4 linked regions of the Arabidopsis thaliana genome follow. The protein of the gene in region 1 interacts with the protein of each later gene in a pairwise test. Each region holds a gene or a part of one and is shown in the gene's direction. Other genes may lie near its edges.

Region 1 (6,755 bases):
TGCTGAAACTTCATCGTCTTCGTCCTCGACGAATAATGATGTTGTGGTATCGAAAGATAACACACAAGTGGATAACAGGAATAATTTCATAGGCCCAACAAGCAGTTCTTCAGCCCAAAGCCAAAATAATTCTAATCCAAGCTCATCCATCCAAACCCAAAATGAGCCCAATCCGAGCCCGTCACCAACACCTCAAAATTCTAGCCCAGAATCTTCACCATCGTCTTCTACCTCCGCCACGTCCACAGTCCCAAATCCACCACCACCACCTCCGACAAACAACCACCCAATGCGAACCCGAGCTAAAAATCATATAACCAAGCCCAAAACGAAACTCTCCCTCCTAGCAAAAACAGTTCAAACCCGACCTCAAATACCAAACACGGTGAACCAGGCTTTACGAGATGAAAAATGGAGGAACGCTATGGGAGAAGAAATCAATGCCCAAATACGGAATAATACATTTGAATTGGTTCCACCAAAACCAAATCAAAATGTTATTTCCACAAAGTGGATTTTTACACTAAAATATCTTCCTAATGGTACTCTTGACAGGTATAAAGCAAGATTGGTGGCTCGAGGTTTTCGGCAGCAATATGGACTCCATTACTCTGAAACTTTCAGTCCTGTGGTTAAATCTCTCACAATTCGCCTAGTTCTACAATTGGCAGTGTCTCGCTCATGGACAATTAAACAACTAGACGTAAACAACGCTTTTCTTCAAGGTACATTGACGGATGAGGTGTACGTCACACAACCACCTGGTTTTATCGACCCCGATCGACCACACCACGTTTGTCGCCTTAAGAAGGCGCTTTATGGCCTGAAACAGGCTCCACGCGCTTGGTACCAAGAGTTGAGAAATTTTGTTTGCTCGTTGGGATTCACCAATTCTCTCGCTGATACATCAGTGTTTGTTTACATCAACGACATCCAAATCGTCTACTGCTTGGTCTATGTTGATGACATTATTGTCACGGGAAGTAGTGATGCGTTGGTAATGGCTTTCATCACCGCTCTTTCTCGGCGATTCTCGTTGAAGGACCCGACGGATTTGGTATATTTTCTTGGTATAGAGGCAACAAGAACCTCACAAGGTCTTCATTTGATGCAGCATAAATATGTTTATGACTTGTTGTCTAGGATGAAGATGTTAGATGCCAAACCGGTGTCCACACCAATGGCGACACATCCTAAACTTTCACTCTACTCTGGCATTGCTCTAGACGAACCCGGAGAATACAGGACAGTGATCGGCAGCTTGCAATACTTGGCGTTTACACGACCGGATATTGCGTATGCTGTGAATCGATTATCACAATTTATGCATCGTCCCACAGACATTCATTGGCAGGCTGCAAAACGCGTCCTTCGATATCTTGCGGGAACTGCTACTCATGGTATATTACTTCGCTCAAACTCTCCTCTCTCGCTTCATGCATTCTCCGATGCTGATTGGGCTGGGGACAATGACGATTTTGTTTCCACCAATGCATATATTGTGTATCTTGGCTCTACACCCATAGCTTGGAGCTCGAAGAAACAAAAGGGAGTCGCACGTTCTTCCACCGAGGCCGAGTACAGGGCTGTTGCAAACACAACTTCAGAAATTAGATGGGTATGCTCTCTTCTTACTGAGTTAGGCATCACATTACCAAAGATGCCTGTGATATATTGTGACAATGTTGGTGCCACATATCTCTCTGCAAATCCGGTTTTCCATTCAAGAATGAAGCATCTAGCATTGGACTATCATTTTATTCGCGACAATGTGAGTGCCGGTGCACTACGAGTCTCTCACATATCAACACATGACCAACTTGCCGATGCTCTAACCAAGCCATTGCCTCGTCAACACTTTCTTCAGTTTTCAAGCAAGATTGGAGTGAGCAAACTCCCTCCATCTTGAGGGGGCATGTAGAGTATATAAGTAAAGGATAGTTTAGTAAATCATTAATCCCTAATTCATTCTAATGTAGTCCCTATATATATTGTAATTATATCATCTAATGAATTATTCAGCCTTCAATACTATAGTTTGATCATGTGCTTACTTTCCCTTCATTTGCGATACTTCAAGGTTCTTGCTGCCACTGTTTCTTTGAATGCGTCACATGTTTGAACATGTGTGTTCTTTTTGGATCGAAGCTTAGCTCTTTAGATGGAACTGAATAAGTAAAAGAGGTCACTGGATAAGCTCTGTTACTAGAATAATAGGAGGGCTTCTGCTTCACATTTGTAATCCTCTCTCTTTCTCTGAATTGATGTTGCAATTGCTTGTCATCAGTATCTGTATTTCCATAGATAACTGAACTCATTAAAGGGCAACCGAAGCTGCTTCGTGGTTTATGTTTCTTCTTTGTGGGCTATTTTGCTTTGCACTTTCACTTGTTTCTTAGTTTTGGTTTGATTTTTCATACTGGGCCCTGAGCAAAACAATTTTAGTTATATGACTTGTGAAACTTAAATGGGTTTTAATCGAATGGTAACTTCATCTAATTTGTTTGAATAATTCATCATGGACCTTAATGATAATATCTTGAGTCTACTAATCATTTCACAAATCCTTTCATTTTCCAACAGCAAGTAGCCTGATTTTTGAACCTCAGCGATAGACAGCTTAAAGTGCGGTCATTCTCGCAAAAAGCTATCAGTCTTTATTTGATTCACGAACATTATACACGAAAGTCAAAATTAAATAACCAAAAAAATTAAACAAAAAGCAAACAAGAAAACGACTTCTCTGGTATGATTGGAACAAATTTAATAGAGAGAGAGGTTAGATAAGAATGTGGTAGAAGATAAGACCCAACTACGCGTCATAACTGGGTCCCATCTTTGTCTCTTTCCCTTCTTCACTCGCCAACCCCATCGCGTGTCCCCACGCTCCTTCCCTTTACTTTTTCTCGTTATCCAAAACACGACGATTCTTCATTTTAGATTTTTTTCATTAATAAAAAAAAAAAAGTCTTTTATTGCAGAAATTTCGATCGTTTTTGTTGTGTGTACAGAGAGATTATCGTGTTTTGTTGGCAATCGCCATTAAACCTTCTTCCCTCTAACCCAATCAAATTTGCGGCTCTTTCTTTTATCTTCTCGCCTCGGTTTTAGCAAACCCTTTAGTTATCTTCTTCCTCAAGCAATTTTTCTTTTGGATTAGATTGGTGTTTTCTTTTGGTTTGTGTGGTGATGATGAGAAGGCAACGAGATGAACAACAATCTAGGGTTTTCTACGATCTATCATCTCTTGTTTTGAATCTTCTCCGTTCTCCTCCTATGCCGATTTCTTTACCTGATCATTTCCCCGATCCGCCCGCTAGAATTCGTCCTCCCTTTTCTTCGCATCGTTTTTCGTCTTCTTCGCCTTCTTTGGCTCATATTTCTCCGTCTGGATTCGCGTCGTTGCTGCTTGGTATATCTGTGGCTCTTATGCTATGTGGATCTGTGACTTTCTTCATCGGGTTTCTCTTGATGCCTTGGGTTCTTGCTCTGATTTTGGTTTTCTATGTCGCTGGCATCGTTTCTGCCATTTCTATGGTCGGGAGGTCGATTCTCTGTTACGTCTTGACGCCACCTTCTCCTTCCGGAAAGGAGATTTCTGGTAATTTTGTTGAATTTTAGGGTTAAGTTTGTCAAATTGGTTTCAATGATTCAAGCTTTCTACTTTCGTCTCGGATCTGTTTAGATTTTAACCAAAGTTTCCTTATTGATCATCTAGAAATGATTCCACTGGGTTTTGGTTCTGTCCTTATTTTGATAGAAATGGAGGTTCGAATTAGGGTTTTATTGAAAAGCACACCGATGTTTGTTCTGTCTTTGACTGAAACGATATTGTTCTTTTGTTTCCTCGTGGATCATATTATTCATGTTCACATTACTTTTGTTGTCTGAAATTAAACCTATGTTTGTATTAGTTTCATGTTCTTGCAATAATGTTTGTGTTTGACATGTCTATTCGCAGAATGGAAGCTTCTGTGAAATGATTAAACAACAGAGGTGAAGAATCTATACATCATCCGGAAGCAGAGCAGAGCGAAGCAGAACAAAAAAAAGAAGAAGAAGGATTGATTATATAAACACATATATCCGATAGAGTTTTTCTATGTTCTTTATCTGTATTTTGTTGGGGGGGTTTGGGAAAATCATGTGGATATCAGGGAGTTTTATATTTCTTTACATTTCGAAAAAAGAATTTTTCTATTTAACTACTGTTAGAAATAGAGAAGCCTTGTTATTTGTGCTTTCATGTATGTCGTTTTTATGTAACATGATCATTTCTTAAAGCATACAAAAAGATTTTAGGATTTCTGTTGCACTTCTTTCGATTTCCTTGCATTTTCGAAACACTCTGTGTTGATATCTCTTCCTTTAAATCTTCTTACAATATTTGCTCATTCTTGATCTCTTTTATGGTTTTAAATAATTGTCTCTTCAAGTTCACACGGAATCTAGTGTGAATCGAGGTTTAGTCGTGCAGAGTTGTGTGTGTTATTACATGTTTTATTATTGTTTAAGTATATTTATTTAGTGGAGGACTATACGCTATTTGCACATCTCAATGTCAAATTGCTCAAAAATGGTAGAGGTGCCGTGCCGTCAATAGATGTCACGTGTCCTGACTTGCCTTCTCAATACAAACAAAAATACTCTCTACCTAAAAAAACACAATAAACAACAAACGCATCTTTGGAGCGGCGGTGAGATTAGAGAAGAAGGGTTTGTGAAATGGAGTCCAGTGAGGATGTGGAGAATCTGAGTAGAGCTATTGAGAAGCTTCTTCATGAGAAGAGGAAGAGAGAAGCTTCTGGTGACGCCTTCATTGAAGACGCTGATGATCAGCTTTTCCTCTCTAGCCTTATCTCTCAGGTACTTTACCATCGCTCTGTTTTCTCCTTTGTTGATTTATCTGATGTTGCAGCCAATCAACTTTCTGGGTATATGATTGAATCATGAGTATTTGAGTGAGTCTGTGTAATTGTTTCGCTGTGATGTGTCTGCTTCGATTTTGATGAGATCCAACAAATACAAGCTTATCTTCATGATTGTGTTTAGTTGCTGTTTCATGTCCACAACATTATTTGTATTGGGATGTGTCCATTTCAGGCTTGTGCTAATTTTTTTGCCAATAACTTAGTTGGAATCACCAAACCCCAAGGGGAAAGAAGATGTCATAACCGGAGAAGAAGAAGAAAAAGAAGAAGAATCTGCAGATTCTTCACCATCCAAAGGAAAAAGCGAGGGCCAGAGACAATTGGAAGAAAGTATAGAAGAAATAGCTAAAGACATCAAGAAGGTGAAGAAGCAGAACAAAATAACCCATGTACTTCTCTCGGCTACGATCATCCTGACATTGGTTTGGCAGCTCTCTGAGTACTCCATGATTTTCATGTTGAAAGATAGAATAAGCCACCCAGTCAGATCCATCGGAGGTATGCTTAATGGAATGTTCAAAGGTAAGTTACGTCCAATCAAGAACCAACTTGCGGGGACTTCCAACTCCAATGACCAAAACAACCATGGGAATGGATCACACACTGGACCTCAACTTCAAGTGCCCGAGCTGTTGCGAGAATTCGGTTTCGACGATGAAGAATGATAGCTTCCCTTTGTGACTCAATAATACCAGTTGTTATTTAGGAACAGGGGTCACCCTCATTGTTTCTTTGCTTTTAGTATAAGTAGTTTACTTTTATATGATCAAAATGCGAAAGAATAGTTGCTTTCTCAAACTTTTCCACATGAAAAAGGGTTCCAAAAGAGAACCGTATTTCAAAAAATCTTTTGTTTTACCCTTACTGAATCATGGTTCAGTGCCCGAAAACAAAAGGAGTCATCTCAAACAAAGTAACAAATAGCTCCATTGATTAAAATAAAAACAGACAGCAAACCACCTGAAACAAAGCTTAATGTTCCAAATCTAAAACCAACTCAAACAGTTTTTGAATAGTCCCAAACTTTCCACCACTCTCTTTTCAGCTTCCAATAATGGTTCCATGTACCTCTGGCATCAAATTCCTCAGGCATAGTTCAACCTGAATATGTCATTGAACACGTAGTAGTTTCCCTGATTCGATATCAAATGGAACATCTGGACACAAAACACAAGTATGTCAGGAATCAGGCAAAATCCAAACAACAAGCAGTCATCAGATTTATGTTACAATCATATAGTGATCCAGTGCGTGATTCACAACACAAGAGATGCATACGTAGCTCATTACAAGTAGGTCAAGTTGACAGAAATTCATCCCACTTTGCTCTATACATACATTCCACAAGTTTGATGTTCATACAAATATGATAACAAAACACAATTAGTACCTTGATATGAAGAACTAAAATGACAAAAACATCTCTTATCGAACAAATCTAGTAAAGAGCGTTCAACACTAAAAAGAGAAAACAATGTCTTACGGCAGATGATACAAACACTGCAAGCATCTCAAACTATTTAGAGTTGAGACAATTTAATCAAGAAGGTGGCATATCTACAACTACAACAAGATCACATATGAGCATAGTTGAAAAAAACTAGCAGAATCATGGCAAAGCAGTTTCCCAATACTACATTCACGAAGTGCAAGGAGATAGAAGCTCCACAAGACAAAATCTAAATGACACAAGATTACATCTACTGATCTACGCAATCATTTGGGGGAAACCTCTTTTATCTCCAACCTTATCACAGATCTATCACTAAATGCATCAGGGAGGGTCTAAAATTTCGAGACAATTCCAGATCATTGAAGCTTTTA
Region 2 (9,345 bases), 7.2 Mb from region 1:
TTGGATTTCCCTGAATGCTAGTATTGTAAACAAGCTAATCAAGTGTTAGTGAAGACATACTGCAAATTAAGATATCATATTTCAATGACCATCAACTATTGAAGACTAAATATAGTTGAGAAGATCTTACTTCAACTTCAACCCATTTTTCACTTTGTTGAGAAGAGCTTGAGGGACTGATCCACTAAGGTTGTTTCCGCTTAAGTTTCTGCCTAGGTAAAAAATAAACATCAACAGACTCGGATAATAAATTGGCAATGTGATTCATATGAGTGACCAAGTAACTTACATGACTAACAATGATTTCATTTTGGCTAGAAATTCAGGTACTCCACCTGTTAGATTATTATTTGAAAAGTCCCTATCATATGCAAAAATGAATTAATTGATTATATGTTTGGCCTTGATAAACAGAGTATTCAAGTAAAACAGAGTATTCAGGTAAAACAGAGTATGTGTTTGACCTTGATAAAAAATTGGCAATGTGTTCATACTTACAATTTTTTAAGCTCCGTAAGATTTTGGATCTCAGGAACTATAATTCCAGTTAGTTCACTTGAGGACAAGTCTCTGGTGGTAATTAAAGATCATAACACACATTTAAAGTGTAAGATGTTACGAAATGCAGAGCTTAACAAAAAACTGTTTTAATGTTACGAATAGCCATGGACGTACAAGGAATGGATTCTTGGTGGTGTAGACATATTGGTGTACTCGCAGGTAAGACCATCCCACAATAATTGTTGAGGAACACATGGATCTCCTTGCCAACTAATTCTACTTAATCCATAGCTTGTTTCTATGCTCTTGATAGCAAGGACTAACACACAATAACAGAATGAAAACACTTAAGTATATACAAAAAAGTATATATATACTCAGATTTTGCTGACATACCGTCATTTGCATTAGTTTCAGACTGCGGAAACTCCACTGTTATAAAAGCCTCAATAGCATTGAGGAGGGGAGGGAGAGTTGATTTTGGAGTTTTTATTAGTTGCAAATGGCATGTCCCTCCTTCACATTTAACTGGTGATGTATTGAATAGAGTACCCACTAGAAACTCGTCAGGACTAACAGGTCCATAGTTAACATCTTGGCCTGCGCTAATGTTGAATTCCCTGGTATCATTTTCCCTTAAGGATTGGATCTCAGCGACGTGGAGGTATGCATAAACTAAGTCGTCAGGTGTTTCCAAATTCCAAGAAATGGTTAATGGTGAACTCACATTTGCAGGTGTGGCTGCCGTAACCACTACGTCTTCCGGTATGTCATAGCCGTTATCATCAGAAGTGTTGACCGTGAGACTTGTTCTTAACAGTCTCCATTCCGGCATGAAAAATGGACTCCAAAGACGATCATGGACATCTTCTGGATACCTGAAGAGAAAGGATGGAAAGTATTACCGAACAGTGTATCCAGTGGAAACCAATCTATTCATTACCAATTGGTTTTGAGTTGGCTTACCGAACAGTTTCTTTGGAATCAGTCAAATGGACGCGGAACAATGTCTTGAGGGAACCAGATTGAGGAATATAAGTATTATTTCTCAATGGTCGTAGTTCTAAAGCTGATATTAGCGGCGTAGTTGTTCCCGTCTTAACAAGACAAATCTGCAAAGAAGTTGACCTTGGTATGTGAATGATTTCCGCCCTTGTTCCGTTTACATTTCTTTGCAAATCGACCGTGGTCCATATATTTGGACCAAGATAAAGGTCGAACTTTGGGTGTGTGTTAAGATTATCGTAGTTTCCATAAGTAAACATGGCTACGATCAGATAGTTTGTGCCTTGTATGACGATAAGAGTATAACAGTTTCGTACTCCATCTGGAAAATATCTCAAAACCGTGTATGGCTTTATATACTCCATCCCCGGAACATTTTGAATCTTGCCGCTTTTTCCACTTTTGATGAAATCGGCGTCTGATGTGAATGTTAACTTTGTTAATGGTTCGGTATAAGGAGACTCATCGGCTTGCAACCCGCAATCCAAACTGATGAATCCTGATAAAGGCAAAAGAAAAAAAACAGAGAAATAATTTGGTAAAAAAATAAGTTTGGAAACTGAATTAATGACTAAATTGTGATAGGAAACATGTTTAGTCAAAGTTAAAAGAAGAAAACCTGAAACAAAAAAAGTTATACCTTGTTGATCTTGTGCTCGAAGAAAATCGGAAATGCCTAAAGACAAAACTAGGAAGGCCAATAGAAGTCCACGGAGGTTTTTCATTTTCCCACCTCTGTCCAAAAAAAAAAAAGGATTACGAATTGCCAATGTACTTGCAATATAAAACATGCCAAATCAAACCTTTGGATATAAAAAACGGATGAATTGTTAAATAATTATTTATTAACTTATATTTCTGCTTGGGGCGGATCATAACGGGAAATATGTCAACGTTCACATACCAATAACAATAAGCCACCTATTGAGTTGGACCGATCTTCTAACCAAATTCGAAATAATTTGTCTAATAATTTGATTATGGTAAGACTTTTCTCAAGTGGAATTATAAAATCTGACAAGTGTGTGTCATGTTTAAATTTTATAAAAAAGGTTTGCAAGTGGAAATTAGTAGAACTGATTGATTCTAATTGGTTATCATCAAGCACACCTATAGTAGATTAACCTGAGAAAATGAGTTATTACCGTGTGTGTGAAGGGATGTCATATTCATATATGGCAAAGTCACCGATCGTGTCAGAATCAAACCACGAATATAAGCAAAAGTGAACAAATGAATCGAGATTTTTAAAATATAGAGAGTATATAACCTGGTTGCATATTTTTCATTTCAAAAATTTTATAATCAACCACTAACGTCTTGATTTATTTTATATGGATATTATACCAGTGGTTAGCTGTTATTATTCGTTAGATAAAACCATGGCAAAAGTTTAAGTTTTTAAAACAAAATTTATACGTAGACGTCACCATGATTAATTCCATTTGCAGCTTATAACACTAAAAATTTGTCCATTTCAAAACTTTGGTAGTAGTAAGTTTTGTTAGTTGTGAACGAAGAAATCATCAAAAATGGACACTTGCACCAGGCTTCTGTTTGCTGCGTGTGCCACTTTATCCATCTTACATCTTGTTCAATCTCAGAATCAACAAGGTCTTTTTATCATCTGTTTTTCTTTTTTACAATAATTTTGGAAATAAACCATTCTAAATTTTTTTTTGAGATAGAACTTTATATAAGAAAAACAATATGTACCTCTCCCTTTTCGGTCTTACCAGGATTCATCAGTTTGGATTGTGGATTAGCTTCTAACGAGTCTCCTTACAACGAAGCAAATAGCAATCTGACGTACATATCCGATGCTGATTTCATTCAAGGAGGAAAAACTGGTAATGTCCAAAAAGACTTGCTTATGAAACTCAGGAAGCCATATACGGTTTTGAGATACTTTCCGGATGGAATCCGAAATTGTTACAGTCTAAATGTCAAGCAAGACACAAATTATCTAATCAGGGTTATGTTTCGATATGGAAACTATGACGGGCTTAACAATTCTCCAAGATTCGACCTCTATCTTGGTCCTAATATTTGGACAACCATAGATATGGGGAAGTCAGGTGATGGAGTTCTGGAGGAGATCATTCACATCACAAGGTCTAACATCTTGGACATATGTCTCGTCAAGACAGGGACGAGTACACCAATGATATCATCCATAGAGTTGAGACCCTTGCTATATGATACTTATATTGCTCAAACCGGTTCCTTGAGGAATTATAACCGGTTCTATTTCACCGATTCAAACAACTATATACGGTACCTTATTTTCACCTTATGCTTTATAAATAACCAAAGTAGATTATGAGCAGAAACTTTAATCTCCACAAAAACTTTAATATTATTGTCATTTAAGCCATCTAGCGTAAACCAAGATTATACAGTATTAATTATTGTTATTAGTTGATGTAAAGTAAAATATATAACTTGATTTTGGCAGTTATCCCCAAGATGTGCATGATAGAATTTGGGTGCCGTTGATATTACCAGAATGGACGCATATAAACACAAGTCACCACGTTATTGATTCTATAGATGGCTATGACCCACCACAAGATGTACTTAGGACCGGCGCCATGCCCGCTAATGCCAGTGATCCAATGACCATTACCTGGAATTTGAAGACGGCTACTGACCAGGTTTACGGTTATATTTACATCGCCGAGATCATGGAAGTCCAGGCCAATGAAACTAGAGAATTCGAAGTTGTGGTAAATAATAAAGTTCATTTCGATCCTTTCCGTCCTACCAGATTTGAAGCACAAGTTATGTTCAACAATGTACCACTGACATGCGAGGGAGGATTTTGTCGTCTGCAACTTATAAAAACTCCGAAATCGACTCTTCCACCCTTGATGAATGCTTTCGAAATTTTCACGGGCATTGAGTTTCCTCAATCAGAAACAAATCAAAATGATGGTATGTTGCCTTTGAACAAATATGCATATAGCTTTTTACACGTATTATTTCTTGCTAATTTGCACCATGTTTCAGTCATTGCTGTAAAGAATATTCAAGCTAGTTATGGACTGAACAGAATCAGCTGGCAGGGCGATCCATGTGTCCCTAAACAGTTTTTGTGGACTGGCTTAAGCTGCAACGTAATTGATGTGTCCACACCACCAAGAATCGTGAAATTGTGAGAGCATTTATTCTAACTCAATGTTGTTAGCAAATCTTAAGCCCTGAAATGTATCTGATGTGATATGTCTTGGATCTTCCAAACAGAGATTTGTCTTCAAGTGGATTAAATGGAGTTATACCACCTAGCATACAAAATCTAACTCAACTTCAAGAACTGTACGTATCTCTATAACAAAATGAAGATGTATTCAAAACACTTGTTAACAATTTTTTGTTGCAACAGGGACCTGTCCCAAAACAACTTGACTGGTAAAGTGCCTGAATTTCTAGCCAAGATGAAATATTTGTTGGTCATGTAAGTGTTGTTGAAAGCAAAATAAGCCATTTTTATCATAATGTTTTACATTTACTAACTAGATGATCTACTGATTTGTCTATATATTCACAGAAACTTAAGTGGAAACAAACTTAGCGGTTTGGTTCCTCAAGCCCTTCTTGATAGAAAAAAGGAAGGATTAAAGCTATTGTAAGATTTCTTTTTGAGATGATCTTTATTGATTTACTACGTGCCCACTCTCGTTTCTGAAATTCACTACGTTCTTTATTCTTTAGGGTTGACGAAAATATGATTTGTGTGTCTTGCGGTACAAGATTCCCAACAGCTGCGGTTGCGGCATCTGTTTCTGCAGTGGCCATTATCATACTTGTGTTAGTTCTCATATTTGTTTTAAGAAGGAGAAAGCCATCTGCTGGGAAAGGTACTTAAAGGAGAATAACATATAGAAGAATATAATCCCATATTGTATAGCTCTCATGGAATTCTGTTAAATTTTTCTATGCAGTTACACGCTCATCCTTCAAATCGGAAAATAGAAGATTTACTTACTCTGACGTTAACAAAATGACAAATAACTTTCAAGTTGTTATTGGTAAAGGAGGGTTCGGTGTTGTCTATCAAGGTTGTTTAAATAATGAACAAGCAGCTATTAAAGTGCTTTCTCATTCATCAGCTCAGGGCTATAAAGAATTCAAAACAGAGGTATTCTTATTAAATCTTTTACTAAAGTTTTGGAAAAAGAGGTTAATGTTTGAGATCAGGAATCAATTGGTTACACTTTTTTCTTTATGTCGTCCTTGATTGTTAGGTCGAACTACTTTTAAGAGTTCACCATGAAAAGTTAGTAAGCCTCATTGGATATTGTGATGATGATAATGGCTTAGCTCTCATCTACGAGTTAATGGGAAAGGGAAACTTAAAAGAGCATCTCTCAGGTAAAACACATGAAAATTTGATACAACAATTTATAGGTTCTCTTTCAAACAAACTTCTTAAGCCACTTGGTTGTTATTGCAGGAAAACCTGGTTGTTCTGTTTTGAGCTGGCCGATAAGACTTAAAATAGCTCTTGAATCCGCCATAGGTGTGTAGAAATATTATTATATATAGTTTAAGCTGATATATATAAATTCTCTCTTAAACTCCATATTTATGATAATTAGTTAACATACGAGGTTTAACATATGGTAGGAATTGAGTATTTGCATACTGGATGCAAGCCAAAAATCGTTCATAGAGATGTCAAAAGTACTAATATATTGTTGAGTGAAGAATTTGAGGCCAAAATTGCTGATTTCGGACTCTCAAGATCCTTCCTAATAGGAAATGAAGCTCAACCTACGGTTGTTGCTGGAACATTTGGATATCTTGATCCGGAGTAAGTAGTGGAGGATTTATATCACATTGTACATTTAAACATGCATGTCTTCGATCGATTTTCTTGCTTTCTGAAAAAAAAAGTGAACCATATCTTTAAAATCTTTTGTTATAGGTACCACAAAACCAGCTTGTTAAGCATGAAGAGTGATGTATATAGCTTTGGGGTTGTCTTACTGGAAATCATCAGCGGCCAAGATGTGATTGATTTATCCCGTGAAAATTGTAACATAGTGGAATGGACCAGTTTTATACTCGAAAATGGTGATATTGAAAGTATAGTGGATCCAAACCTCCATCAAGATTATGACACAAGTTCTGCATGGAAAGTTGTTGAATTGGCAATGTCATGTGTGAACCGTACTTCCAAAGAGAGACCAAACATGTCTCAGGTCGTTCATGTGCTAAACGAATGTTTGGAAACATGTGAAAAGTGGAGAAAAAGCCAAGAGGTGGACTTAAGCAGTCCTCTGGAACTGAGCATAGTTGTAGACACCGAAATAAACCCAAAGGCACGTTAGTCATTATTCTCATGGTTGGGTGTATAATGATCAGTCTGTATAATTTGTATTATGAAGCGTCTATTGCACAATTTGGGTGTTAAGTCTGTATGTTGAACGTGTTGATACTTAATAGCTTCTTCTTGTGCTATCGAAAGTTGAAAGTACTCTTTTAATTATACAAGAAGAATATCCACTCATACAGATATTTGTGATTTTATTCGGTTTAAAGAATCTGTTTATGCGGTTCGGTTTTTTCGGTGGGCTTGGAAATTCACTGGGTTTTTATTTTGTGGGCCGAAAGTGTAGGCTGTGGTGTAGAAATGTTATTTTTTGGGCTGTAGGAACTTTGTAAGCCCAAGAAGAAATCCTAATTTCATCTTCTTGAAACACGTGTTCTTTGTCCTTCGCGATTTCGATGCTACCGACAGAGAAGAAGAAGAAGAAGACGAGCTTCACTTCGGTATTTACTCTCAGATCCATCGTTCCGTTCAAAGTTTCCAGCATTTAGAAGGACTATTCAATTCGGATTCTCGGCAGGTTGGGAAAGAACTGAAGAACCGTTCGGTTCAGTGATGCCAAAGTATATTTGAAGCATTGCCGATCGGTTGATAGCTGCAAACCGAATTGATCGATCGGTTAGGTTAATTAGGTTTAGGTTAAAGTATTTTGCATCAGAAAATAGATAGGGTTCTCAATGAAAACAAATTTGTTATTATAAAATAAAATAGAAGAAGAAAAACTGAAAAAGACAAAATAAAATAAACAGGAGAATGACATGGCTTGGACTGAAAGGAAAAAAAAAACATTACATGGCATGTGTGACTCAACGTTATTGTCGAAGTTTGTGTGTTGTAAAAAAAGCCGGACGATCCGACAGAGACAACACGTGGCCGAATCAGGGGGAAGTACGTGAGACAGTGGTGGTGACCCAAGAAGGGAGAAGAAGAACAGGTCTTCAGGGTGGGGTTTACTGGTTATAGCCGGTTATTCGCTCTTCTTCTTTTTTCAGACACGTCCTCTGTGTTACTACTCTCGTATAAGACCAGGGGTTTAAGCCCTTGTCTCCTTCCGTGCTTTTTTCCCACATTAAGGGGTTTTTCGATTTCCCACAACAAAAAATAAATAATAAGACAGAAACTTTTTTGCTTTGTGTGGGTTGATGAGAAAATAAGATCATAAACATTCTGATCTCACCTTGTTTCAGAAGAAAAGGTGAGATTATTTTTGAAGTTTTTTTGGATCTGCAATTTGAATTGCGGTTTTTTATGTTTATAGTTTTCTAGCTTGAGGGTTTTTTGATGTTGTAATTTGGTTTCTCACAGAAGCTGAACCGTGTTTGTTTTTCATGAAAATATTACAAGACCAGAATTGTTCATTATTTTTCTTGGTAAATTCATGCTCTGTTTTCACTCTACGGTCATTAATCAAATGAGGCTTTAGATCGTGGAAATTTCAATAACTTGGATTCTAGCTAGGGTTTTACAAAAAATGATGTCTGAAATTGGAAATAATCTGCTATCACATATACAGTATGTGAGATTTTCTTGCAACGTAAGAAATTTTATAGATAAATGCTAATACATTGTTGGACTCAGTAACCTAATTGTTTTTCTCCAGGGATCTTGTAATCCGTGAGAATGCCTTCGTTTTGTTGAATGATTGAAATGTTCTTCAAATCATGGTGTTGCAAAAGAGGCCCGATTATGGATTCAATGGCTATGAGGTGCCTCACACACCTCGAGCTGCCAGATCACCAAGAGTAAATACAATTCTTAACTTTTTTGTGTGTTTCTTATCAGTTTTATATATGTTCTAATGTTCCCTTCTGATATATATGTTTGTGTTTTGTGTTTTGCTAGAAGAGTGCTTTCAAGAAGAAAAGCGAAAACCATCAAATATCGTCTTTCGATTTGTTGGCTGCAGTAGCTGGAAAACTGCTGCTTGAAGGTGGGAATTCTTCTTCCTCAAGTAACAATACCTCTGGTAATAATGAAGATCAGTGTGCAGTTAAGAAAGAGCCGCTTAACGGCGGCGATATAATGGTGGAAGAAGAGACTACAAATTCTGATCATGATAATAATAATGCTGAACGGAGTTTCTTTGTCTCTGAGATTCTTCAAAAATCTCATGAAATGCAAAGCTTTAATAGATCTCCAAGTCCCCTTAAAGAGTTCCATTTTGGATCTTCTTCTGGTATAACTTCTGATTCCTCTGAGAAGTTTGAAACTCAAGAATTGGCGTATGATGAATCCAAGATCAATAATGGTGATTGCTATAGGTCAGAGTCTAATGATAAGAAATCAATGCTTGGAGGGTTAAATTTTGAAGCAAAGTTATCAAGGAATGTTGTAGGTAAGGATGAGAAACATATAGGTAGTGGATTCAGGAAACCTATTCCCCAAAATCCTTCAACATGCTCCGATGATGTAGATTTACACGGTAAGGAAAATGATGATGGCGAAAACTTCTCAGCCTGTTACAGAACAAAATCATTTAGGTCAACTCTGCGTATTGGAGATAG
Region 3 (8,086 bases), on another chromosome or scaffold:
TATGCTTAACATTTTGTGAGAGAACAACAGCAAGGCAGTTGCGGTCCAGACCAGATAACAGTATGCTAAGGCACTCCATCAACATGATACAGGTTCTGCGCATGCCCAAGAGGTTAGCGTCTTTTTTTCCATCAGCAGTTGGTGCCTCCATAGGGTAAAACCCTTCCAAAGAGTCCAACACTAAGCTGGCTGGGTTTGCTGCAGCCCTGAACGCCATAGGAATCTCCTCCTTTAGTGATGCAAGGTTCTTGCGGTTATCTGATACAAACTTATGGAGACCCGTTGAGTCCATATCCCCGCACAGTTTCAGTAACTGTGGATAAGCCTTCACCTCATAATTTCCCATCACAGGTGAGATCTGAACATCTTGCACAATACCATCCGGATTATCATCGGTAATACTATCAGCAGCAAAGACATTGGATGAATCCTCTACAGCATTTTGTGGCCAACGTTCACCAACAGAAGGTTTACTGACAGGAGCGTTGTTATACTTATCCAAAGCACTGTTTATAGTAAACATAGCTGCGTCTCTCTTCTTCTGAAGCCTTTCAAGCGCCGCCTTCTCCTTAGCCTCAACAGCTGCCTTCTTTTTCTCCAACAGTTCTTGAGCTTTCCTTGTTTTGGTTTCATACTCTTTTTCTTGATCTTCAAGCTCATGAAACCTTCTCTTCAAAGACCTCTCAAGCCCATGAAAATGCTCCTCAAGTTCCTTCCACTTCAGATTAAGTGTTACAGCACGCTGACTTTCAAGTTCAGCAAACGCCTTCTGAAGCTGCTGAATCTTGGATGATGTAGAGTCCATGAGTGAAGCAACTGACCGAGTATCCTCCATCACAAAAGAGCCTAAATAAAACGGAAATTTAAGTAATGATTAAAAAGTCCCGAACAAATAAAAACAAACATGAGTACAACGACATTAGAGGCCAGACACAATATTGTTACCAATTCAAACAAGTCCAATCTCCAAGCTGCGAATAGAGAGCTCCACGAAATCTCGATCCTTGAACAACAAACAACTACAAAAAAAAAAATCATCAAGAACAGATAAACAAAGATCAGTCAAAACTATCCAATGACAATATCACTCGTTAAAGATAAAAACAAATTAGCTCTGTAACAAGACCGTACAAGTCATAGTGGACAACTATGTAAGAAAATGGCCTACAAGGCAAGTAAAGACAAATGAACAAGAAACCCCCAAAAAAATGAATCCATTCAAGAAAAATTCACACTATTTTTTAGTCACAAAGATAATTCAACCTCAAGAACTAATCAGACGTACTTATAAAAAAATTAGCTGAAATAATACAAATACAGATTAAGAGAAGAGTAGATGACGAAATGAGAGTAGAAACAAGCAAGCTGATTCAGTGATTCTATGAAATCCCAGCTTAATCCATCACATAAACAAACTTCACGACCAAAATTCAAGGTCATAGCAGAAATTTTGAGCTATATTGTGGAGAAATCAACAAACCCTAGCTACAGTGAAGAGAACACGAACATGAACTCAAAACAAAAAAAAAGTATATACCTCAAGAGAAGATAAAAAAAAAGCAACTTTACCAGGAAAATCAAACGAAGTAAAAACCCGTAAGAAGAAGAGATCAAAAAACTTCAAGAAGGACCACATGATCGTAGATCCATGGTGAAGAGCGATCGAGAGAAATCGAGGTTAGGCAGAGAGAGAGAGAGAGAGAAGAGGAAAGTGAAATCCCTAAAAAGGAAAGAGGAAAGTAGAAGAGAGGCAAAATAAAAGGAAGCAAAGCGATTTATAACAGACACTTTATTAAGCACACCCAATTTTACTTAGTTGGCACGTGAGAGAGACTGGTGTGGTTTAATGGCTCGTTCTTCACTATCATATCTGGTTCGGACCAGACAGCTTATGTGGCTCTAGTCAAACCCTTTAAAGTTTGCGTCACGTGAGTTTGTCTGAAACTGCCGGGAACTTGTAATTTACTCTTTCCTCCTTTTTTTCTATTAATTGGTATATTCACCATCTATGTGTATCAATCACTCTTTAAATTCCTTAACTTTTTTTACCAAACACCCAATCTTTTTAACCTGTTGACGAAGCTTTGGCTTCATGCTTAAGGCTATGTTATAATGGGGAAAAAACTAGATTGCACAATCTTTCATAGACTGATATTCTTCATCGGATGTTTCGATCATATAAATTGTCTCCAAGGATGAAACTATGTGTCTAATTTTTTTGAATGCAAAATTTATATATGATTGTTTTCTTAATAAGAGCAACAATGAAAATATAGTTTGGTTATACATTGGTATTTGTCAAAGAGGAAAGACTAAACCAAGAGTAAATAAATCTTACAACTTCCCAAATTGTTGGAATTCTACAATTGTATTATATATGGTGAATGATTTGGTACAAAACATTACAAATATCAAATGAATTTCGAAGTTGGTTCAGGTCACGAATGGCGGATTTGGCTTGGGAGAGACTAGAGGTTGTGATTCGTGGTTTATCTCCTCTCTAAAATCGTTATGTTACAAACTGACTATCAAGGATAATCATATCAATCAAGATAATGAAGAGAATCAATATCGTCAATCACGTTAATTGCTCATAATCATTGTATACAATATTAAGTTTCCTTCAGTAGCTTTCTAGTCTTTGTATATAAACACTCTGTAATCATCTTGTTTCATATATTCGATATACTCTTAGTCTACATGGTATTAGAGTCTCTGTATATAAACACTCTGTAAAATTTCTAAAATCGTTATGTTACAAACTGACAATACATAAACAACACGAATTAACATTTTGGGGTGTTTGCTGAACCGTGGTTGGCGGGTACATCTGCTAAATGAACAAGCTTTTTATATATATATATATATATATAACTGTCAACCCATAATTTAAAGATTCCAACAACAACAAAATAAGTACTACTCCTAATAAGTATTTAAATATGTGACATGATATTCAATTTTTGTGATACAAATTATTATGCATTGGTATTTGTCAAAAACTAATACCAAGAAAACATTTCTTGTAAATGTCATATTCCATTCTTTGATTTGGTCAAAACACCAAAACCATTTACAAAATATCCAGAATTATCTAAAAACGAATGAAAAGCGAAAAATACCAAATGGAAGAAAAATTTGTCCATCTCCTAACAAACAAGATAATATATATGATGATGTTGAAAAGTCAAAAAGAGAAGAAAGAAAAAAAAAACATTTAACGCGCAAAGACCGATTTGGTTTTTGTTGGGAGTCATTGCGTTCTCATCATCAGTGTCTCTCTTTTCTTTGCCCCATTCTTCACGAACTTTCACTAGACGACGACGACGATCCAAAGTCCCAGTCAACTCACTCACAAAGACGACTCCTTTATTAAATTATTCCCAACTCCTTTCTTCATCATCATCATCATCATCATTCATAACCACTTAGCCACAGATGCGATTTTCTTCTCCTTCTTCATTGTGCTCTTCAACACTTATGAACAAGAGCACCACCACCACGACAACGACGACTACAAAGACCAAAGCTTTCGTTTTGTGTTTCTGATTTTGATTCGTAAGTTGTTGTAAATTTTTCTAAGTCAACTTCAATTTTAAAGATCGCTTTAGTCTTTTTGATTCGCTGGCGATAATCCAATTTTCGTTGTTGCTAATAAAGTTTTGATTTTTTTTTATTTGCTTACAGGATTTTGATGCTCATCGAAGAGAACCCTTGATTTTGTTGCTGTAGTTCATAGAGATTTTACACATTTTGTGGAATTTAGTGGATTTATGATGATGGGTAGGTTAGTTTTTGTAATCTGGCTCTATAATTGTCTCTGTTTGCTGCTACTCTCGAGCTTGGTTGACGCGGATCAGGCCAACATAGATTGCTTAAGGACCTTTAAATCTCAAGTAGAGGATCCAAATAGATATTTATCGACTTGGGTTTTTGGCAACGAGACTGCTGGTTATATCTGCAAGTTCAGTGGTGTGACTTGTTGGCATGATGATGAGAATAGGGTTTTGAGTATTAAGCTATCTGGTTATGGTCTTAGAGGAGTGTTTCCTCCTGCGGTTAAGCTATGTGCTGATCTCACTGGTTTAGATCTTTCTAGAAACAACTTCTCTGGACCTTTACCAGCCAACATTAGCACCTTGATTCCACTTGTTACGATTCTAGACCTCTCCTACAATAGCTTCTCTGGTGAAATCCCTATGTTGATCTCCAACATTACCTTTTTGAACACTCTTATGCTTCAGCATAACCAGTTCACGGGTACTCTTCCTCCCCAGCTAGCGCAACTTGGACGGCTCAAAACATTCTCTGTGTCTGACAATCGTCTCGTTGGTCCTATCCCAAATTTCAACCAAACCTTGCAGTTTAAGCAGGAATTGTTTGCTAATAACCTGGATCTGTGTGGTAAGCCTCTAGATGACTGTAAGAGTGCTTCTAGCTCTCGTGGTAAAGTTGTTATTATAGCGGCAGTTGGTGGACTGACTGCAGCAGCATTAGTCGTTGGGGTTGTTTTGTTCTTCTATTTCCGTAAATTGGGTGCTGTTCGGAAGAAGCAGGATGATCCTGAAGGAAACAGATGGGCAAAGAGCTTGAAAGGACAGAAAGGTGTTAAGGTAAAAACATCATTGATTTGAATTTTGCTGTATGTGGTTATGTTCTAAATTTATGATATATGTTTGGTGCTTTTGTGAATGTTCAGGTTTTCATGTTTAAGAAATCGGTTTCAAAGATGAAATTAAGCGATCTTATGAAGGCAACAGAGGAATTCAAGAAAGATAATATCATTGCAACAGGAAGAACAGGAACTATGTACAAAGGTAGGCTTGAAGACGGGTCTCTACTTATGATAAAGAGGTTGCAGGATTCTCAACGCTCTGAGAAAGAGTTTGATGCAGAGATGAAGACTTTGGGCTCTGTTAAAAACAGAAACTTAGTCCCTCTCTTGGGCTATTGTGTTGCCAATAAGGAGAGGCTTCTAATGTATGAGTACATGGCAAACGGTTACCTTTATGATCAGTTACATCCTGCAGATGAAGAATCCTTCAAGCCCTTGGATTGGCCTTCAAGGCTGAAAATCGCGATTGGGACGGCAAAAGGATTGGCATGGCTTCATCATAGCTGCAACCCGAGAATCATCCATCGCAACATAAGCTCGAAATGCATATTGTTGACTGCAGAGTTTGAGCCAAAGATCTCGGATTTCGGTCTAGCTAGGCTGATGAACCCAATTGATACCCATTTAAGCACATTCGTCAATGGAGAATTTGGGGATTTCGGTTATGTTGCTCCCGAGTATTCAAGAACCATGGTTGCAACTCCAAAAGGAGATGTCTACAGCTTCGGTGTTGTGCTTCTAGAGCTAGTAACGGGCCAAAAAGCAACGAGTGTAACAAAAGTATCTGAAGAAAAAGCTGAGGAAGAAAACTTCAAGGGTAACCTCGTGGAATGGATTACAAAGCTATCAAGTGAATCAAAACTGCAGGAAGCAATCGACAGGTCCTTACTTGGGAACGGTGTGGATGATGAAATCTTCAAAGTACTCAAAGTAGCATGCAACTGCGTTCTACCGGAAATAGCAAAGCAGAGGCCAACCATGTTTGAAGTTTATCAGCTTCTAAGAGCCATTGGAGAGAGCTACAACTTCACCGCCGATGATGATATCTTAATCCCATCTGAATCAGGTGAAGGCGATTTCATTGAAGAGCTCATAGTTGCTCGTTGATCAAGAGGAAGGGTAAGAATTGTGAAACAAACATCTCTAGTCGTAGCAGTCCAAAGATATATATAATGTATAAGTATTGTTTTTATTTTATTTTTGGGTTCTCGTCGTCGATGGTGTGTTGTAATATGATATATTGTTAGATGCACTCTCTTATTACTATGTACTAAGCTTTGGGTGTGTGGTACAGTCACTGTTTTGGTTTTGCCACTACGTCTTTGCTGCCTTATATTTTGCAGCACTAATTTGGTTGAGGAGAATACAGTCATCACGTGGGATATCTTTGAAGACTAACTATGTGCTCGATTTGGACCCACTGACTATGGAGATTTCAACGAAACTCTGTCCGAAATTGGACAAACCACAAATATATTGCAATGACGAATGATTGGGTCAAGAATACCAAATTCAAAATAACTAGACTTAGTCAATTCTTGGTTTTCTTTTTTTTTTGCTTAATTCTCGTCGACAATAATAGAAGAATTAACAAGTGTTCTTACATCACCTTTTCACTTCCAATTTTATAGGAATCCATGATTCCATTTCGTTAGCTCCTTGATGTAAAATTTCTATTTAAGGACACCAAAACAAATATACAAAGCAAAGATTAAATTTTCTACAAAAACTTCTTCTTTTAAAGTTTAATTGAGACCGCATTAGGTTTCCATGCAGCTGAATGAAAACATACATGTACCGATTAACCATGAAGTTTCGTGCACTCGGCTTAGTTCTTCTATTAGCAGTGGAGACTTGCAAAGCTGAAGAGATTACGTGCGAAGAGACCAAGCCATTCACATGTAACCAAACTGATCGTTTCAACAGAAAACATTTCGATGATGACTTCATCTTCGGTGTTGCATCTTCTGCTTACCAGGCATGCAACAGATCACATATTCTCCCAATTTTGACGTAAAAAACAATTCACTAACACTAAATTCCAACGTTGCATGGTTGTTTTGTTTCACTTCAGATAGAAGGTGGAAAAGGCCGTGGCCTTAACGTTTGGGATGGCTTCACTCACCGATATCCAGGTTTGTCGTTTGCATGGTTGATATATAAAGGCTTACATATTTATACGAGAGAAGTGTCGGTACGTTATCTCTCTATACATTCATAGTAATGTCTTTGTACGCTACCAGAGAAAGGAGGACCCGATTTAGGGAATGGAGACAGCACTTGTGGATCATATGAGCACTGGCAGGTTAATACGTGTGGAATTACTGAATTTAGTCACTGAATTTTTATCAACTACGTGTGGAATTTACATGTGATTATTTGTATTACTACAGAAAGATATAGACGTAATGACCGAACTCGGGGTTGACGGCTATAGATTCTCGCTTGCTTGGTCAAGAATCGCTCCAAGTATGTACACATTAATCCATGCATGTATATATGAATATATATTGTTTGTCGTAAAAATAAATCTACGATCTATATGAGCAGGAGGAAAGGTGAAGAGGGGAATCAAACCAAGCAGGTGTTAAGTACTATAACGATCTCATAGATGGCCTCCTAGCAAAGAATATAACTCCTTTTGTTACCCTCTTCCATTGGGACCTTCCTCAAGTTCTGCAAGATGAATATGAAGGTTTCTTGAACCATGAGATCATGTATGTTATCGATGCCATGCTACTTCTTAATAAATATGACAACATATAAAAGATTTGATCTCGCATTAACGAAATGATTCTATAATATGAGCAGAGACGATTTCAAAGATTACGCGAATCTATGTTTCAAGATATTCGGTGATAGGGTTAAGAAGTGGATCACGATCAACCAACTCTATACCGTTCCTACTAGAGGTTATGCAATGGGAACAGATGCACCGGGTCGATGTTCTTATTGGCTTAATAAAGATTGTTACGCCGGAGATTCTGGAAGAACCTTATATCGTTGCACATAACCAGCTTCTTGCTCATGCCAAAGTCGTCCATCTTTACCGGAAAAAATATAAGGTGAGTTCTCTGGTTGAAAAAGATATAATCTGACATCTGATTCTAGATAATTTTATATATATATATGCAATGCTTCCTCACAACAGCCAAAACAAAGAGGACAGATTGGAGTTGTGATGATTACTAGATGGTTTGTTCCATATGATAGCACTCAAGCCAACATAGATGCGACTGAGAGGAACAAAGAATTCTTCTTGGGATGGTATATCTCTCAATATATCCAAAAATAAATAATAGATGTACATTTATAGAAACTTATTAAGGCATGTGTATAAAATAGGTTCATGGAGCCACTAACAAAAGGTAAATACCCTGATATCATGAGAAAACTTGTGGGTCGACGCCTTCCAAAGTTCAATAAGAAAGAAGCCAAACTTGTAAAGGGTTCATATGATTTTCTTGGTAT
Region 4 (7,447 bases), on another chromosome or scaffold:
CCTTAAACTGTTTTTACAGGCATATCCTGTCTTTCTCTGTATACCAAGTTCTTAATTTAAACTAATAAGAAAACAACATTGATATACTTATATATCTTCTCCAACCTCTGCTCTTGTGCCAGATTCTTCCTTTAAAAGTGTTTTGGCGATAGACTTTACCTTTCGAAAGGATCTCCCGCCTCAGCAGGATATTCAGGTGCGGCTACAGCTGCATCAATCTTCTCCCTTAGATTGAATTTCTTGGCGATCATTGGCCTTACATCTTCAACTCCAATTAGGCTTTCAAGAAATGGCAGCAAGTGAAGGAGTTCTTTATCTGATGGGTCATTAAACCAGCTCTCTATTGGCACTCCATTTTCCACTTGGAAACCAAATGCCTAAAACATTGCAGAAAAAGAAAAACACCAATGAGATTGTGCAACAGCCTTAGATCGAGCTTAGAGAATTCTTAATGGCGGTTCTGGAATCAACTTCTTTTCATCAACCCTACAAAACCAATGAGATAGCTTTTGCAAACAAAGAACTTCTACTGGATTCGCCCATACTACCTTTCATAGTTATTATAGTTTTCCTATACTAGAAGTGTATCCTACAATTATAGCTGATAAAAGCATCTATCGATCGGTTTAGGTATAAAGCATAAGAATGGAGAACTAAACGTGTTTACTCACTGTGTAGAAGGATAATAAGAGTATAATACCTGTGGGGAGTTATCAACAATGATAACACGAGATAAATCACGCCCGAGGACTGACAAATCCTTGAGGTAGTTACCATCAAAGAAAACACACGAGTCACGGTACACTCTATGGCGAAAGAGCTTTCTCTTAGGGTCAAGCACGTTCAGAAGTTGCTCAGCATAAATACTTTGGCTAGCTGTAAATATAATGATCTCAAAAAGTCGGGACACTCTCTCCATAAACTCTTTGAGGTGAGGACGGCATCGCACATACACCATATGCTCTTCTTCATTAAAATTCACTGGGAATGTGAAATCTACCTCACCACACGGCTCTAGAGTCGAGTGCACAAGAGTTTCTGCAAAATAAAACATATATGTTATAGTAGCCTTAAAACCTGGTGAGAAAAAACTAAGATTTGTGTGCCATTAAAACCTGCAAAGAGAGATACAATTTTAAACAAACGAATCAACTGAAAAGTAGCCTTACCATCAAGGTCTAGGACAAGAGAAATAGGAGGACAGCTTCGGGTTTGTTTAGGAAGCAAGACCGGCCTGAAAGTTGGGACAACAGAAGACAGGTTCGGCAAGTTCTTGATAAACAGATAAGGATCAAACTCATCGAGCTCCTCATCCTCTTCATCCTCCATGCATACCGAAGTAATAAGGGAATCTTGACCACGCTCGTCAACACATTCCAGCTTAGAGCTCTTCATCGCTAGATAAATGGCAGAAACCGAATCCAAGTTACAATTTGGATCTACGGTACTTGTATCTAGAGCAAGCAATCGATCATAAGGGTTCTGTGCATCCAAATCCCGAGAAGAAGGAGAGTCATCATCTTCCATTAAAACCCTATTAACATCAACTTGTAACTGAATTAGACAACAGAACTCAGAGCCTAATGCAACTACTCCACAATTTCAATATCTGACCATTATTCACATTCATACCCAAACACTACTATAAATCTACAAGTACAAGGTTCAATGATAAAGTTTTCAAATTTACCTTGTAGAAACTCTCTTCACTCCTGTAGCTACCGACAAAGCAGAGACACCGGAGATAGATCAGTTCCCGAGAGCCGTCAAATTACAAACAACTAGCTCATACACTATCTGAGAACGAAAACAGATCTTGGATTAGAAAAGGAGCAAAGCCCTAGATACAATTCACAAAGAAGGAACCAAAACAAAAAAGTACCCAGATTTAAAATATTTGAAAGATAAAAACTTTGGAGCCAAAAGAAGCAAAATTCGAAAACTTTTCATCGCGGAAAGTGACAGAAATCAATATTTTAAGAAAGAGAACCGAACCGGAACTGAAACCCACGAAATCGATTTCAGATAATTTTCAATTTTGATATATATATCTAGGGCTTTTAATACGAAAAAAGGGGGGAAAAAAGACATGTGGAAAAATCAAAGCTTTTTACTGGGATAAACGATGGATAAATCTAATCTTTCCGCTTTCTCCGCAAATTTCTCTGCAAATTTCAAAATTTCTTCAACGAAGCGCACACCTAGATTAAACTTCAGTAGCCCAGAAATTCGAGCTGAGATTGAAGAGCTAAGAAGAAGAAACGGAGAGGGAGAGAGAGAAAAAAGAAAACCCTAGAGAGAGTATATTCGTCGGAAAAAAGTACCTCCGATCAAAAACGATTTCTTCTAGCTTCCGTCTTCTTCTCTCTCTCTCTTCGAAATAAAAGAGTAAAATATTTGCTCGAAATGAATGACAGACGACTATAGTCTACATAAGCAATGAAATATTTCATTTAAATGCCCTCATACTTTATTAATATTTCATTAGTAACCTCGATAGTTTTTGATTTGTTAAACTAAACCCCAAACATTCGAAGAGTATTAGGCCGGTAAATGATGACGTCATCTCCGGTTGGAGGATAGTACAACGATGCCGTAGAGAACTAGAGAAGTGTCTTTTTCTTAAAAAGGAACCTTCTGTTTTTTACAAATTGAACATGCATGTTATGGATTATTGGAATAAAAAAAACGTTTTGAAGACTTTTGAATATTTTCTTTGAAAAATGAAATTATACAAGATTATGTGACTTGATTAGATTTGATGTTACAAGTTAAGTTGGTTTAGAATAATCTTTGTTTAGTACTACTATATATAGGATGATCTATTTTTCATTGGTTATAGCTAGAATGCTATATAGAATTGTGGAATGTTGTTTCATGTCATGATTATGCAGATTTATTACCAAACACATAAAAGATTAAGAGGTATGACATGAATGACGTGTTCTGCTGATTATGTTTACGACGAAATCCAAATAAAAGACAATTTGATCCAACACAAACTGAAAAACACTCAACCTGCCAATATTATTCAAAGAAATGAACAACATCAAACTTGTATTCAAGCATGGCACAATGGATGATTCAGAGAGGACATGATGGCTTAAAACAACATTGATATATTTACGTTCCCAATTTGAGCTTTAGAATATATGTTTGTAATTTGAGAATACATATGATTGTTTCATCTTCTTCCCCATCTTTCTCTTATACTCTTTCGTTTTCTTGAATACTTTGTAGCATAAAGAGCATTTAGACTCTTAGTTCATTCTCTTTTGAACTTTGTCTCATGTTAATCCCATTTTTGTTTTTGTTTCATACATGGCTATCTATGTGGGTTACTTCTAAGAACTACAACAACACATCAAGGATATATAATTTAGCAATTTTCTTAGTTAACTTTTCCTTCTCCTAGAAACACTAACCAGGAAACAGTTAACTAAAACCACTCCCGCCAAGTTTTGAAACGTTGTACATATATATAGGAGTGAAAATATTACTTTCAGAAACATGGGGTGGGATATATATAAGATATAAAAATGTAAGGGGTTACTTTACAAATAAAATAGAATAGAAACAAAACGTAGACGTTTAGAGCGGTCCTCGTCAACTACGACAACATTAGAGATCGATCGTCGTCGTCGTACCCGTCAGACTCAAGGAAAAAGAAAAAAAGAGATTCCGCCGCACGTTGTTCTAATCGAAAAAAGCGACTCTCAATAAATCTGTCTTCCCTTTTCTTTCTTAAACTGGAAGAAGATTAATCAATCAGACACAACAGAGATAACTGATTTATCCACTTCAAACAATACAAACCTTTAAAGTCTTCACCTTTATAGAGAGAACTTTTAATGGTGTGGTTGACGAATCAACAGATAGGGAGATGGAAAAGGAAACGAATTTTGGTTGTGGGATCGTTCCTCTGTTGGTCAATCATCATGTTCATCACTCCCAAAGTTCCTCTCGATTCATTTCGCCATCATATCTTCGCCGATAAACGCAATTTCATGGGTATCATCATCATATCACACTCTCTCTTCTTTTTTTTTTATCTCTCTCTGTCTCTGTGCATGTGTAATAACGAGAGACAGGTGTTTTGTGTGGGTTTGATGATGAACAGGAGTGCCTAATACATTGAATGTGATGACCAACTTTCCCTTTCTTATCGTTGGAGTTCTTGGTTTTGTTCTTTGCATTGGAGGAAGCTTCTTCAACATAAGGTATCATTCTCTTTCCCTTTTTTGAGTTTTATTTTGAGTTAGTTTAACAATTTGAGTTGTTGTAATGCAGTTTAAATGGTGAGATCTGGGGATGGACACTGTTCTACGCAGGCATTGCAAGCTTGGCTTTTGGTTCTGCTTTTTATCATCTCAAACCTGATGACAACAGAATCGTCTGGGACACTTTGCCTGTTCGTTTTTCTCACTTTACTTTTCTTCGGAACATGAATCTTCTTTCAGTTATGCATTCATTGCTTCTTGATTAGTGATGCGGTAATTGTATATATTGACAAGCACATTGTGAATACAAAAAGTTGAAGAATCATCTTATAGCTATGTAAAAAAGCTTAGATTAGACTTCATGGTTTTTCTTGGATTGGTTGGTTCTACAAGCACATAGTGAAGTGAACACAACTCTTATAGCTAATGGAAAGAAGCTTTAGAGATTTTTCGGGTGTAGAGTTGTGGTTTTTGGTTTTATTGAATGGAAAGTTGTTTTTGCTCATCATTTTTGATGGTTGGTTTATGAATAGCTGTTTGTTGATTAATGACGGTAAATTGCAGATATTGATTGCGTATTCGTCGCTTTTCTCTAGTTTTTTGGTTGAGAGAGCGGGGGAGAAAGTGGGACTTAGTTGCCTCATCTTGCTTCTATTTATATCATGTCTCAGTGTTGCTTACGCCAGGTAACATTAAAACCAAGAAAGCATTACCTCCTCTGTATACATATATGTTCATGGTTTTAGTCAGGTTTCGGATTGAAATTATATGTGTCTTAGTTGATGGCAGAGTGTTTAATGATCTCCGGTTATGCATGACGTTCCAGTTGATACCGTGTCTGGTGATTCCCGTCATGGCGGTTTTGTTACCTCCCAAATATACACACTCTAGATTCTGGCTCTGGGCAACAGGTTTTTAACTCAAAACCACATTTGCGGTTTTCTTATTAGAATCCACGGTCTTCTGATATCTGCTTATCATGAATGCAGCGGCGTACACTATTGCCAAGATTGAAGGACTTGCAGACAACAAAATATACAATGCAAATCGATATATCATCAGTGGGCATTCACTGGAGCATTTGTGTTCTGCCGTGGCTACGCTTTTACTTACCATTATGCTTTTGTATAGAAGCATTCGGTTTAATAGGTAACGTTTTTTCACTGACTCTTTCTCTTTGATCTTTGAGTTCCTTGAAACCTGAGAGGATTTTTCACTTTTCTTTTGTATGATGGAAACTAAAACAGATTAGGTGATCTCAAAGGCCGTCCTTGACATTCATTACTGACTCCTCAAGTTTTTTTTCTCTTGTATTTAGATGCTTCTGGATTCTTGTATTACAAATTTTGTTTGGTTGCTAGATAGATTTTGACCCATGATCCCACTAAAACATCGTTAGCTTGGTGTAATCTTGGTTTCTGGTTCTGAAACAGCTTTGGCTTTAAGGTTACTTATTCAAGTCTTATATATGTGTTTGGACAATGGACAATTTTACATGTAGTAACTAAAAAGAAACCAAAAGAATAATCATAACTCACAAATACACCTTTTATTTTCGGTCTTGACTTGTGACCTGTTTCTTATTCATATGATCACTTTATTGAGGACTTTAAATCATAGCACAGAATGTGGAAAAATCCAAGACAGCAATAGCATTATAGAAACGTAATCATACAATTCATCTAAAATAGCAACAATGATGAGTAAATCTCGGAGTTCATAGTCCTTCAAAGAAACGTAAATGGTCATCGAATGTCTCAGCATGCCTGATCTTAGTGATCGACCCATCTTCTTCAACCTGCAAAAAGAAGAATATAAATCAATCACTTTCTCTCAGGATCTTGACCCTCCGCTAAATTTCCGCAGAAAACGATAATAAGAAACAGTATTGTTACCCAGTATTCCGGGGGACGCATCTTGAGATTGTAAGTGGAAGCCATACTCATACAGTATGCACCAGCGTCATGAACCACCAGACCAGCTCCCTGTAACGTATACAAGAAACTAATTAGATTCCATATTACTTGAGCTGCCAAACATAATCAGATCCTTATAATACCTGTGGAGGAGTGGGAAGCTCTCTGTCTTTGCCCAAGAAATCAGCAGATTCACAAACAGGACCCACTACATCGAATTTGGTAACCTCTGCTTCAGGCGGTGTAGGAGAGACCAACTCAATATGCTTTTGCGTTAAAAAACAAAAACAAGAGGATGTTTAGCTATAGTTCAAAGGGACTAGAATCTGCAGATGCTGTTGTGAAAAGTATATTTGTTTTACCTGATAGGCATCATAAAGACTGGGACGGATAAGCTCAGCCATACTTCCATCAATCACTATGAAGTTTTTAGTTCCATTCGTCTTCACACCAGTTACATGGTTGACGAAACAACATGTGTTTGCAATCAGTGATCTCCCTGGCTCGATTATTAGATTCAGGTCTCGTGAAAGAACCAGCTCTCTTACCTATGAAACACATCCAGGATTCTAAAGATTCTACCATTCCAGTACTTTTGAGATCAAGATAAAGAAAAGAGTTTTGAGCTGTTGTTCTTACGGTGTTGATAAGATCCATGGGTGTAGGAAGGACAGCGCCGGCATGATAATAATCTATCCCTAAACCACCACCAATGTTCAAGTAGCTAACCTCAAAGCCTTGACGCCGGATTTCATCAATGTATTCAATCATGAGAACCGCAGCATCTCTGAATATATCCACCTGAAATAAACAGAACATACGTGAATATGCAAAGCTCAAGACTCAAGAGTTAAAATTTAAGAGATTGATTACATTAAAACACAAATTAAAAGGAACTATAGTCGGAGTTACCTTTGTAATGGTAGAACCAAGATGACAATGAGCTCCAACAAGCTTCAGCTCTTTGGGATGTGCCTTCACTTCATCCAGAAACCATTGAAGCTTCTCGTTCCTAATACCAAACTTCGAGTTCTTGTTCCCAGTAGCTACATATGGATGCACCTAAAATGGTAACAAACAGAAAAAGCTCATTCATATCCAAGCTAAAGAATAGATTCTAGGACATGCTGCTAAAAGATTGAAAATTTAACCATACCTGAGGATCAACATCAGGATTGATACGCAACAACACATTGACCTGCTTACCAGAAATTCTTGAAGCTTCCACAATGTTATTCAAGTCAAACTCACTATCAACATTTACGAAAACACCTTCTTGAGCAGCTAGAACTAAATCTTCCAAAGACTTTC

Evidence for each region.
Region 2: the proteins of AT1G27290 (region 1) and AT1G07550 interact in a protein complementation assay, tested with the Arabidopsis thaliana proteins (one large-scale study listed by BioGRID).
Region 3: the proteins of AT1G27290 (region 1) and BIR1 interact in a protein complementation assay, tested with the Arabidopsis thaliana proteins (one large-scale study listed by BioGRID).
Region 4: the proteins of AT1G27290 (region 1) and AT5G11870 interact in a protein complementation assay, tested with the Arabidopsis thaliana proteins (one large-scale study listed by BioGRID).

Annotation. Positions count from the first base shown.
Region 1 is NC_003070.9:9,478,599-9,485,353, forward strand, and holds AT1G27290 (uncharacterized protein), read left to right. Parts: upstream 1-2,806; 5' UTR 2,807-3,189; coding exon 3,190-3,601; intron 3,602-3,961; coding exon 3,962-3,978; 3' UTR 3,979-4,394; downstream 4,395-6,755. Other genes in the region: AT1G27300 (uncharacterized protein), read left to right, coding at 4,726-4,866, 5,135-5,596; NTF2A (nuclear transport factor 2A), read right to left, coding at 6,017-6,088.
Region 2 is NC_003070.9:2,320,206-2,329,550, reverse strand, and holds AT1G07550 (Leucine-rich repeat protein kinase family protein), read left to right. Parts: upstream 1-2,980; 5' UTR 2,981-3,038; coding exon 3,039-3,120; intron 3,121-3,245; coding exon 3,246-3,783; intron 3,784-3,964; coding exon 3,965-4,443; intron 4,444-4,518; coding exon 4,519-4,663; intron 4,664-4,752; coding exon 4,753-4,824; intron 4,825-4,891; coding exon 4,892-4,963; intron 4,964-5,056; coding exon 5,057-5,134; intron 5,135-5,220; coding exon 5,221-5,366; intron 5,367-5,450; coding exon 5,451-5,647; intron 5,648-5,753; coding exon 5,754-5,880; intron 5,881-5,962; coding exon 5,963-6,028; intron 6,029-6,135; coding exon 6,136-6,322; intron 6,323-6,436; coding exon 6,437-6,842; 3' UTR 6,843-7,008; downstream 7,009-9,345. Other genes in the region: AT1G07560 (Leucine-rich repeat protein kinase family protein), read right to left, coding at 1-17, 131-208, 290-361, 499-570, 676-820, 898-1,379, 1,468-2,005, 2,147-2,231; TRFL2 (TRF-like 2), read left to right, coding at 8,503-8,583, 8,684-9,345.
Region 3 is NC_003076.8:19,602,220-19,610,305, reverse strand, and holds BIR1 (BAK1-interacting receptor-like kinase 1), read left to right. Parts: upstream 1-3,158; 5' UTR 3,159-3,558; intron 3,559-3,687; 5' UTR 3,688-3,773; coding exon 3,774-4,613; intron 4,614-4,699; coding exon 4,700-5,722; 3' UTR 5,723-6,217; downstream 6,218-8,086. Other genes in the region: AT5G48385 (FRIGIDA-like protein), read right to left, coding at 1-835; TGG3 (thioglucoside glucosidase 3), read left to right, coding at 6,423-6,570, 6,694-6,750, 6,859-6,920, 7,009-7,084, 7,182-7,332, 7,427-7,554, 7,607-7,680, 7,767-7,882 and 1 more.
Region 4 is NC_003076.8:3,821,869-3,829,315, forward strand, and holds AT5G11870 (Alkaline phytoceramidase (aPHC)), read left to right. Parts: upstream 1-3,551; 5' UTR 3,552-3,851; coding exon 3,852-4,011; intron 4,012-4,120; coding exon 4,121-4,220; intron 4,221-4,290; coding exon 4,291-4,411; intron 4,412-4,784; coding exon 4,785-4,906; intron 4,907-5,009; coding exon 5,010-5,131; intron 5,132-5,209; coding exon 5,210-5,369; coding exon of another isoform or gene 5,370-5,373; exon of another isoform or gene 5,374-5,467; coding exon 5,468-5,495; 3' UTR 5,496-5,705; downstream 5,706-7,447. Other genes in the region: SSP5 (SCP1-like small phosphatase 5), read right to left, coding at 156-377, 701-1,038, 1,170-1,527; AT5G11880 (Pyridoxal-dependent decarboxylase family protein), read right to left, coding at 5,938-6,018, 6,116-6,205, 6,280-6,402, 6,499-6,684, 6,776-6,937, 7,049-7,198, 7,293-7,447.